Linked DNA regions of Bombyx mori. The protein of the gene in region 2 interacts with the protein of the main gene of each other region in a pairwise test. Links are inferred from orthologs where the notes say so. Each region holds a gene or a part of one and is shown on either strand. Other genes may lie near its edges.

The links. The genes of interacting proteins can lie anywhere in the genome.
Region 1: the proteins of raf (region 2) and Ras1 interact in a two-hybrid assay, tested with the Drosophila melanogaster proteins (2 studies listed by BioGRID). The link is inferred for Bombyx mori from reciprocal best matches to the Drosophila melanogaster genes Raf and Ras85D.
Region 3: the proteins of raf (region 2) and Ras3 interact in a two-hybrid assay, tested with the Drosophila melanogaster proteins (2 studies listed by BioGRID). The link is inferred for Bombyx mori from reciprocal best matches to the Drosophila melanogaster genes Raf and Rap1.

What each region holds. Positions count from the first base shown.
Region 1 is NC_085127.1:13,622,840-13,626,899, reverse strand, and holds the start of Ras1 (ras-like protein 1), read left to right. Parts: upstream 1-1,253; 5' UTR 1,254-1,464; coding exon 1,465-1,860; intron 1,861-3,583; exon of another isoform or gene 3,584-4,060. UniProt on the Drosophila melanogaster protein: Ras proteins bind GDP/GTP and possess intrinsic GTPase activity. Plays a role in eye development by regulating cell growth, survival of postmitotic ommatidial cells and differentiation of photoreceptor cells.
Region 2 is NC_085121.1:974,366-977,882, reverse strand, and holds part of raf (raf kinase, effector of Ras), read left to right. Parts: intron 1-29; coding exon 30-151; intron 152-1,043; coding exon 1,044-1,161; intron 1,162-2,544; coding exon 2,545-2,649; intron 2,650-3,335; coding exon 3,336-3,477; intron 3,478-3,517.
Region 3 is NC_085112.1:14,078,500-14,082,370, reverse strand, and holds Ras3 (ras protein), read left to right. Parts: upstream 1-1,160; 5' UTR 1,161-1,271; coding exon 1,272-1,826; 3' UTR 1,827-3,364; downstream 3,365-3,871. UniProt on the Drosophila melanogaster protein: Ras proteins bind GDP/GTP and possess intrinsic GTPase activity. Plays a role in photoreceptor cell determination.

The DNA of each region.
Region 1 (4,060 bases), on a different chromosome or scaffold from region 2:
CACAAAACTCTTCTGAACGACATCTTAGATAAATAACAGGTTAAGTATTAACCTTTATTTAATGCAGGTTTTGAACCGTATTCTTTGAAGGAGACGATTATATTCAAATCAATCTGTATTGACATATCGATAACATTTTTTTGTCCAAATGCACAGATTGCCACCTTTGATAATAGACGACTCAATTATAGCACACGTGTAGCATTTTTTCTGTTTTGGTAAAAACCATTAAATTATTTATATAATTAGCCTGTTCTCGACCATTTTTTTATTTATCAGACACACAATACACATTACAAGCTAAAAAGATACACAAAAAGTAACAACAAGTAAAAAAAAACTGGCTTGCAACATAACATATTTCTCTTATGTAACAGAAAATGTATTATTTATTTTTAGTTAATTATTATTAACTTGTAGTAACAGTATTCCTACTTACCTCAATCGTTTTGAAGAAGTCGTCGTGGCCTAAAGGATAAGACGCCCGGTGCATTCGTGTCGAGTAATGCAACGGTGTTCGAATCACGCAGGAGGGGACCAATTTTTTTAATGAAATACATACCTACTTAACAATTGTTCACGATTGACTTCCTCGGTGAAGGAATAACATCGTGTAATAAAAATCAAACCCGCAAAAATTATAATTTAACTATATTTGTAATATGTAGTTGAGATCTTAGAACTTATATCTCACGGTGGGTGGCGCATTTACATTGTAGATGCCTATGGCTCCAGTAATCACTTAACACCAGGGGAGCTGTGAGCTCGTCGACCCATCTAAGCAATAAAACAAAATTAAAAAATGCGTAATGACTGGTGCAAGGACGTCTGTCCGCACGGGTAGGTAGGTACCACCACCCCGCCTATTTTTGCCGTGAAGCAATAATGCGTTTCGGTTTGAAACATGGAGCAGCCTGTAATAATAAAACTGAAACCTTACAACATTTAAAACCTTACGTTTAAATTAAGGCTTCAACCTTTTTGTAGCGACATCTGTTGTGGTTTGGTTGAATTAATTACCAGTTTGATTTTGGCAAATAAAAAGATTAGTAAAAATTGGAAACGTTCAGAATTCTAAAACTAAAAATACATTCATTTAACATATGATAATTAATATAAAGTTTGAAGAAAAATGATATATCTCTTCTTAATATTACTTTTTGCAAAGTAACAAAGAAAACGTTTAAATTTGTTTTGGGATGACTCATCAAGTGACAAGTACCTTTTAGTTTCTGAACGTACTCTCGCACTCCAGTAAAAGGGTGAGTGAACCGCCTCATTGTGTTATTTATTGCATTTGACTCTAATAATACATTAATTAGCCGTTTTACGGTCACATCAAGTGTAATAAAACATAGGCCGCGACAGCCATGCAGATGTGAGTAATACAAGTGTGGTGATTCTGGGGCGTTGTTTTCTAGTGCCGTGACATTGTGTGAAAAAATATTTTGTATATCTCGCAAGATGACCGAGTACAAATTGGTGGTTGTGGGTGCGGGAGGCGTTGGTAAATCCGCATTGACTATACAGCTGATACAGAATCACTTCGTGGACGAATACGATCCCACGATAGAGGATTCGTACCGTAAACAAGTCGTGATCGACGGTGAGACGTGTTTACTCGACATCCTGGACACGGCTGGCCAGGAAGAGTATTCGGCGATGAGAGACCAATACATGCGGACCGGGGAAGGATTCTTGCTGGTATTCGCCGTCAACAGTGCTAAAAGTTTCGAAGACATTGGCTCGTATCGCGAGCAGATCAAGCGAGTGAAGGACGCGGAAGAGGTGCCCATGGTACTTGTGGGCAACAAGTGCGACCTACAGTCGTGGGCCGTAGACATGGCGCGAGCACGAGAGGTTCGTAAACATTCTTACATCATCATAATAAAACTCATTACCTAATAAACAAAAATTTCTATACAAACTTACAAAATCAATAAAATTTGTGTTCTGCATTCTGTCATATGAGTTTTTTCTCTCATAAATTCCCATTGCTTTTAATATATTATCTGAATGTTTTTAGTACCGAAAATATATCCAAAGAACAACTTTACATAAACACAATACTTCCTCCTCAAAAACCTTGGATTTGACTTTGTGTAAGACAAGATCAAGTACAATTAAATAGTACCATGTTTATAATGATAAAACAAATGAGATAAGCTAAAATTATTATAGAATTTCACTTTAAATTTATTTAAAACATTAAACATTTTTGAGTCAAACTTAGAACTTGTTCTTTTTGTGTAACATCAAGTTTTTTTTTTCATTAAGATAATAATATGAGCTATTTATCTTTGTCTTAAGATAAAATGGCCATTGCCAGTTACCTATTAAGTTTATGATTCTCATGGACATTTGTTTGTTTATTATTGATTTCTGCCTGAACTTCTGAGGAATTTAGGACACATTTTTATCAATTCTTTTGGACTTACTTAGTTTGAAAACATGATTGTGTAAATAAATAATTTGCCTTCTGTCAGTAAAGCATACTGGAATTTAATGTAGTCTTATTTTTGTATGTGAAACTTCTGTTTTGGAGTAATGCATAATTAACCTACCATCTAGAGTATTTTAGAGCAAACAAAATGATACAACCCTAACATAAAGGCTTTTAAGAAAAAGAGGTTAGTTTGCATATTTTCTAACAGACATGTGCGAAACACAGTGTAGTGTGGTTCGGCTTGTGTGAAAAGAATTCATTGAATTTACAAATAAAGTTAAAAATAGTTTATGGCTAATATTCATTAAGTCCTAACTTGACTGAAAAAGTTCAAAAGTTAAACACAGCTAATTACTGTGTACTCTTGTCATCAGTACCCACAGTTGATATAGATCATTAACAGTTTTAGTTATAATTTACTGTCTCACCTAATTGACCTCGATATGTAGTGTGCCTAAGACTAACATAGCAGAAGCATTTTTTTAATTAATTACAAACACACCTTACTGTTTAGTTAAGACTTTTGTAGTTTAATCTTGTGTTTTGTAGTCACAAAAGACACAAGAGGTATTATTCACCGACATCCGAATACCGTACTAATTACTGTAAAATATGAAATAAAAATAATTAATTATTTTAATTGTGTAAACTGTAAAAATGATTTTAATTATCTCTAGAACTCCCGAAAATTTTAAGCAATACCTACACTTTACATTTAGACTTTAAACTTAAAATAATTAAAAAACTGCTATTATTTTCATGTATAACAAGGCACTATAAAAAAAAATATCCCCGGAATTGAGAACTACTGGTACCGAAAGTATTTGTACATGGATCTCGACAATACTCCTTGTATTTTTAGCTATTTGAGTCTCAATTATTTACTTGAATTCTAACTTCCTTCTACTTTTATAATCTCTCTCAATTCTCAGCACTGTAATTTCTTATGTACAGATCATCTATGAACAATACGATATCCAGTTAACAGTGAAACATGAGCTCACGTCTAATCTAAGAAACAGACTTTCTCCAATTACCGTTACAGACTTTTACGTGAGTTTTATCCAATTTCCTCTACAGGCTGCACATACCTCACTGTTTTTCTCCTTGTGTCTCTATATTAAAATGACACAAACATTAAAATGTTATTTCATTATTTATTCATTATTTTATTGAATATTCAGATATTTTGTCAACATAATAATAGCATTTCCTTATGCATTAGCTAACAATAATTACTGTTATATTAATTATAACATGAAAACAAAAATTGATTAGTCACTAAATAGGATTTAAACTGCTATTAAAAACAGAACATATTTCTGTATTACATAATAATATGTTATAACTGTGGGAAACCTACTTATAATAAAATTTGTCATCACAGTAGTTGTTTAATCTTATTTTGAAAATGCTTCTGTAGCCTACCACCAGTGATAATATACAATAATTCTAACAAATATATGAAACACGCTAACATTCTCCATATTGATATAACATATTTTTAATTCATGTTATGGTGAGACTATGATAGGGCTTCTCAGGGTATACCACTGCAGCGATTGCTTTGTCCAGCCATTTTGCATCAAGGAGGTGGATCTTAGAGCTTTTGTC
Region 2 (3,517 bases):
TTATAATGATTTGTATTTCGTTTCGACAGGTACGTATGACAGATACATATTATGCAGCACTGTTGGCACAGAACCCAGAAACTCAAGCTGGCATTCTACACTATCCTCCCCACTTCGGGTACCATCCTGGGATGAGAGGAGACCAAAGCAAGTGAGTAGCATAAAATTTCCGTCGACACCTATGCAAGCTTAGTGTTCGCTCACGGGGCGCGCATGCACATAAACTCTCTTGAGGTCATCCAATCCCGTTTCTGCAGGATAGCCGCCGGAGCATCGTGGTACGTGAGGAATGTTGACCTTCACGACGACCTAAATTTAGAACCTATACGTAAGCATCTTAAGGTAGTGTCAGAACACTACTTCGACAAAGCGGCGCGACACGATAATCCGCTTAGTGTGTACCGCCGCTAATTACTTATCCTGCCCAAGCGACGGGTCAATGCAAAACCGCCGTCGCCCAAAACATGTCTTGTCGGATCCACCGGATTTACTCTCGGTGCTTTTAGGCCTCCAGCACCGGTTCTCGTGGAACTCGTCGATTCCACGAGTGAACTAACCCATAGATACAGCCTACTGAGTTTCTCGCCAGATCTTGTCGGTGGGTCGCTATTCCGATCCGGTGGTAGATTCAGCGAAGCACTGCTCTTGCTAGGGCTGGTGTTAGCAAATTCTGTCAGGTTGAACCCGTGAGCTCACCTACCCGTCCGATCGTAGCTGGAATTGCCCTGTATACTACCAACGAATAGGTAGGAAAAAAGAGTTGGCGTTTTTTTTTTTATTGCTTAGATGGATGGATGAGCTCACAGCCCACCTGGTGTTAAGTGGTTACTGGACCCCATAGACATCCACAACGTAAATGCGCCATCCACCTTGAGATATAAGTTCTAAGATCTCAGTATGTACATTTGACAAGTTTTGGTTCCATTAATATATACACTAATTTAAAAAACTAGTTTTTCTTCATTTTTGTGTCAACTCTCTGTGTCATACGTTATACAATTCTCTATTGTTAATGTCTGTAATCTGTTTATTTTGTCCACCAGACAACCACACCCACGTTCATTGAACCAGCAAGACCGATCAAATTCTGCTCCAAATGTTTGCATCAACATGGTGCAGAAGCCTTTGACGCTAGCTGAACATCAAAAATGCTACAGTCAGGTAATATAGTTTTTCTAACCATCAACACAATTATGGTCCTGTGTGCTTAGTGCGAGTTTTTTAACGTTTTCGTTAGCGTAAAAGTTAACTCACAGTTATATGGAGTTGGAATGTTTGCCTACGTTTGCCGCTAGGGGCGCTGTTCTAACTGCATAGAGTTGACTTTTACGCTATCGAGAACGTTCAAAAAACTCGCACTAGGCACACTGGTGTGGATACAGGTACAGAGGTTCTAGTGAGACTAACGTTCGTAACAATTAGTTAGACTAACTCTAAAGTTCAGCGACAATCATAGAATACGAACCCTCGCTTAGTATTATTATTTATTTAACATAATTTTATTCGAAAATATATATGAAAACATCAAAATAATCTATTCTTCTGTTTCATAAACGAAATGTAACTCGATTATTAATCAGCGGAGGCGTGACGCTGCACGAGGGACCGCATACCGTTGTACTTAGTACATTACCGCTCTTAAACTGGAATTAGCAGAATTATTGAAACTCTAAACAAATAATTTTCACAATGACAGGTTAAACTGACAGTTTCGTTCCGACTGACTAAGTGACGGCCCGACTCTGACGTACCACCATTTCATACTTTGGCATTACAGCGTCTACCCTACATTTTTCTGATATTTATCAAAACAGCATTTGATCATTTAAAATAATAATTTTTACTAGTGGTAGAGGACCTCTTGTGAGGCCGCGCGAGTGGGTACCACCACCCTGCCTATTTCTGCCGTGAAGCAGTAATGCGTTTCGGTTTGAAGGGTGGGGCAGCCGTTGTAACTATACTTGAGATCTTAGAACTTATATCTCAAGGTGGGTGGCGCATTTACGTTGTGGATGTCTGTGGGGTCCAGTAACCACTTAATACCAGGTGGATTGTGAGCTCGTCCACCCATCTAAGCAATAAAAAAAAAACGTGTGGCAATCGGGAACTGCCGCGATAAAGCTATTGCATAGCATTTTTTATCAACTTATGCAATTATAATTAGACAATGACAATTTAATATTAAAACAATAATAAAACAAGAAGACGCTATATTAAATATTAATAAAAGCAAAACCTTAACTGTCCCCTTCACACTCATAAGCTAGACCGCGTGAGAGAGAGATGGGCAGACTTTTCATGATGCGCATGCAGTGTGACGTCACGCCACGCGCTTATTCACGAACACTACACAAGCGCAACGTGTGAATGTGTTGAACGCGAGCTACATGGTAGGCGGAGTGAGGGGTGTAAGATTTTTTTCGTTACGGAATTTCATGATTCGGTCGCCGCGCTCAGGCCCGCGATAAAATCTATGCAATAGCTTAAAAAAAACAACACTGTCTTAATATTAGTGAAGTCGTTATATTGTTGCTGGGCGTACAGCACGGCAGCGACAACTCCACGCAGTCGTCGAACTATCTGAGCTCGAGCGGGCCCAGCAAGGACGAGGCGGACGACAGCGACCATCCGCACAGCCACAGCACGCAGGTGACGCATCACGACACTCGACACTACACCACACACATCATCCTCTTATTGCACACTTATAACATTTACATTACTGCTATTTAAATTGACAAACAATTAAGATGTAGGTAATCATATAAACACGAAAGAGGTCTGGTCATGGAGTAAGAGCCTGAGCTTTGAATCTATAACATTAGAAAAAGCTATGCGAATAGTTCTCGAAGAAATCTAATATACTCAAACCCAATGGATAAAACCGCGTACACATATGGTCATGTAATGTGAAGTGTATATATTTATTTATTGCTTAGCTGGGTGGACGAGCTCACAGCTCACTTGGTGTTAAGTAGTTAGCGGAGTCCGTAGACATCTACAACGTAAATGTAGGTAGGCAGCGGCTTGGCTCTGCCTCCTGGCATTGCTGAAGTCCATGGGCGACGGTAACCACTCACCATCAGGTGGGCCGTATGCTCGTCTGCCTACAAGAGCAATAATATAAAAATAATAAAAATTCACTTGAGATATGAGTTCTAAGGTATCAGTATAGATACAACGGCTGCGCCGCCCTTCAAACCGGAATGTATTACTGCTTCACGGCAGAAATAGGCAGGGTGGTGGCATCTACCCCACCCTCCTGGTGGTGCGGACTCACAAGAGGCCCTACAATCAGTAAAAAGGTTGAACACGAGAATACAACTGTGCCGCAGACGTCTCCGACGGGCACGCTGCGGCCGCGGCGGGCGCGCGCGCGCTCTGCGGACGAGTCGTGGAAGAACGCGCTGTCGCCGCGGGAGAGCTACGATGACTGGGTCATCCCGGCCGACGAGATACTCATCGGCGCCAGGATAGGTCAGTCCCTCCGCATCTCAGTCTCAGTCTAGTGCAGCGG
Region 3 (3,871 bases), on a different chromosome or scaffold from region 2:
GAGCGCTATGACATGTCCTTCTTCAAACGAGGCTCGTGGAGAGTATTAAGCGGTAGCCAGTGGCTTGACTCTGCCCCTGGCATTGTTGAAGTCCATGGGCAACGGTAACCACTCACCGTCAGGTGGGCCGTATGCTCAGTGGCGGATTTGCAGTCTCGGCCGCCCTAAGCCCCAAGCCATTAGCCGCCCCTTTCTCAGCATCCACCATATAGACTACATAATGAAATTACTTTATTGCCAACTTTTAGCTAAATAGATTTAGAAAAGTAGGAAAAAAAATAGTTTAAAAAACAGAAGAATATTTAAGGATGCGGTATAGATTGCATCATGCAGTGCAGTCCGCCCGCCATACGTTAAATCCTTAAATCTGGCCGCCCTAGGCCCGGGCCTACCGGGCCTTAGGGTAAATCCGCCACTGCGTCTGCCTACAAGGGCAATAAACAAAAAAAAGCCCTGGAGATCTCGCGACCCAGTCGTATTAAAGCATGAGGCATTTGAAGACACCATTTTATTCATTGGAACGGCCTCCTTTAAAACTGAGATTGCTTCATTAAATAAAAAATAAACAGGAGGATGATATAAAGAAATAAAATTTATAATATAGCTTATACTGATAACAATTAATTCTCCCTAAAGTGTCGTGTCCTTAGCGACAACCTTTTGAAAATTTGTTGCACTGCCCTCTGTACACAGCTTTTAGAACTATTAGCAGTCTAAATAAATAAAAATTGTCTTGCGTAGCTACACTAGCTACATAGATAAAAAAACGAAAAATTTATCAAATAACATACGATTCCTTTTTTTAAAAATTACACTAATTAATATTATAAAATTATTTTTTACGAAAATTTGTTAAATTAATGCATTTATTCGCTAGTCAGTACAATTGATTGTTCTAAATGAAATAATTGTACTGGTCCTGTGCAGCGTCCTGTTCATGATTTTTTATTAGTCGTTCTGTGTCTGCTAAAAGTAGAACACGAAACAAAAATAGTTTTATTTAAATTAGCCGAGTCGATATACTATAGTTTGTGAGTAGAAATATTTATATTCTTAATACTAGTGAACTGAATAGTAGGTAGTCAATGGGAAATCAGGTTAATTTTTCAAGTCAGCAACACTAACATAGTGAGCCATCGCCCTCTTAACGGTGTCATGGCGGTTTGACTTGTTGAAGGTTTTTTTTGCAATAATTACCAAGTTAATGTGCTTATTACCGATTTGATCTTTAATTTCTATAAACAAATTCAAGTGACACAATATAGGGAATAATGCGCGAGTACAAAATAGTTGTGTTAGGCAGCGGAGGCGTGGGAAAGTCCGCCCTGACAGTGCAATTTGTACAAGGCATCTTTGTCGAGAAATACGACCCAACCATCGAAGACAGCTACAGGAAACAAGTGGAAGTTGATGGACAGCAATGTATGCTCGAGATCCTGGATACCGCAGGTACAGAGCAGTTTACCGCGATGCGGGATCTCTACATGAAGAACGGGCAAGGGTTCGTGTTGGTGTACTCTATCACAGCACAGTCTACGTTCAATGACCTACAGGATCTACGTGAACAAATCCTGCGAGTGAAGGACACGACCGACGTGCCAATGGTTCTGGTAGGCAACAAAACCGATCTAGAGGCGGAGCGCGTGGTTGGCAAGGAACAGGGACAAAATCTGGCGCGCCACTTCAACTGCGCTTTCATGGAGACGTCGGCAAAAGCGAAAATACATGTTAACGATGTGTTCTATGACTTAGTGAGACAGATCAACAAGAAGTCCCCCAAGAAGGATGAACACAAACCTAATAAACGGAAATGTATTATTCTGTAAGAGTGCTGTACGAGTCTCCGACGCGTCTAGGTATAAATATATTTAATAATTTGAAAGACTTCTTGTACCCAGATTTGGCTCTCGGCAGTTCCCAAAGTTTATCTAGGTCGGGTGATGAACATTGTTGCTTCAAAATACCTGTATGAGAATGTGTGTTTGTTACACTGTATATTACATGTGCGGTAACACTCGTGAAATCCAGTGTCACTGATGATAACCACATTTTCTCTGTACAGGCGTAGTTAATAATATCTTACTCTATTTTGATAGTACAGTATTTGAGGATAAATTCATTGTCTTTGTGTGTTTCACTCTAGAAAATTCCATTTGTATTGTGTGGATGCGGTTAGATTGCGAAGTTGTAAATGATTATAAAAAAAATATTCCTTTACTACTTATGATGTAAAACATTGTATTTTGAGCCTATGGGGAGTGTGTCCCATTCTTATCTAAAACTTCAAAGTATATGATTGAACAAACCGTAATAGACTCCACAGTAAATATTTTTCGATGTCAGCATGCACTCTCCATGGCCTCCTCAGTATTAGAATCAATTCCATTTTTTTTTTCAAAATTCAGTGGAAAATTTTATGAATTGTGTTATTATAAATAACCGTGTTGGGTACAGACAGTCTTCTGTCAATTACACAGGAAAATTCCTGAGAAAACAACACATTTGCCATGAAACGCATCAAGGGCACACGCATTAAACAAACAATTCATATTATTCATTTGAAATTGTTAAAATGCCAGTTATTAAGCATTTAGTTTTTATTTGCTGTTTGGACCTAACATAAGGTTGTTAACTAGAGTCTAATTGTACTGATTGGAATTATCCGTTATGTCTATGTGACATTTAGACGGAGGCTGTAGAAGACAAGCTCGGTGTATTCTGTGCCAGCTGGTCTGAACCAGTGTAATGTTTAATAATTAAGGATACATTAAATTTTTTCAGATATATTATTGTCTTGTTATATAATTCAAGTGTATTGAAGAGAATGTTAGCGTAACAGTTTAGAACTTGATAAATTTAAATTTTAGAGAAGCCTTAGGTGATTGCACCCTGCAGATAGTTGTTGATGTCTCTATGGTGGAGTCCTGTGCCATTTGTTGTGCTTACACCATTGGCACTGTACAATTGACCCCTAAAAATATAAAGAGTTCTAAATAAAAATTATCGTTATTATAAATAAAATGAAGTTTACTAATTACAGTCTCATTTTTTAATATTAATTAAATACCAGCCAACGTTTTGCTGCTAGAACTTTGTTAAAAGTAATGATAGATGTTTGAAATATTGTTACGAGAATTAGATGTTTCCTCAATTTTTCTTCTGTTAAAGTTAATGACTACTGCACAAGGATATTGGTATAAAAACTTTGATCTGAGTTTTTAATTATATTTTTTTATATATATTGTGCAAATCAAAGAAAATATTGTATATTTTTATCTTTCGATCAATAATAATCGACATGTACAATAAATATTAATTTCTTTTTCTTTTGCAAATTTATCAATAAAACCAATTTTAAATATGATGTCTTAGGGTATATTTTGTCCCTCCCGTGATGCTCCCCTCATGTCAATTGACCTGGTTAGTGTCTGATGAGTCATGGTACAACTATCGGTCCTGGCGCGACGTACCCCCACCGACAATCAAATAAACACCAATTGACTCGGAGAATTTTAATGGTTTATAATCAAATTAAACGACAGCACATCATCTGCTACTATTTTATTTCAGTGTAAAAAAGATACATAAAAAGTGTTGCTTACACGTTATAGAACACACAATAATATTAAATATAAACGCAGTGAGACGTGGCGGTCGTATGTCGACATTCTAGTAACATAAGAATTGACACAGTCCTACATATTAACGTAATTCTAACAAAGTACGACAGAACTATGATAATCAAGCAATCTAGCTAGTTAGATAAAATAAGTATTATATTAATTCACCACTGGCACACCCCATATTGTGTAACAAGATCTAACGCATAGATCGAGCACACCATGGGATGAACTATGAAGCTAAATTAAAC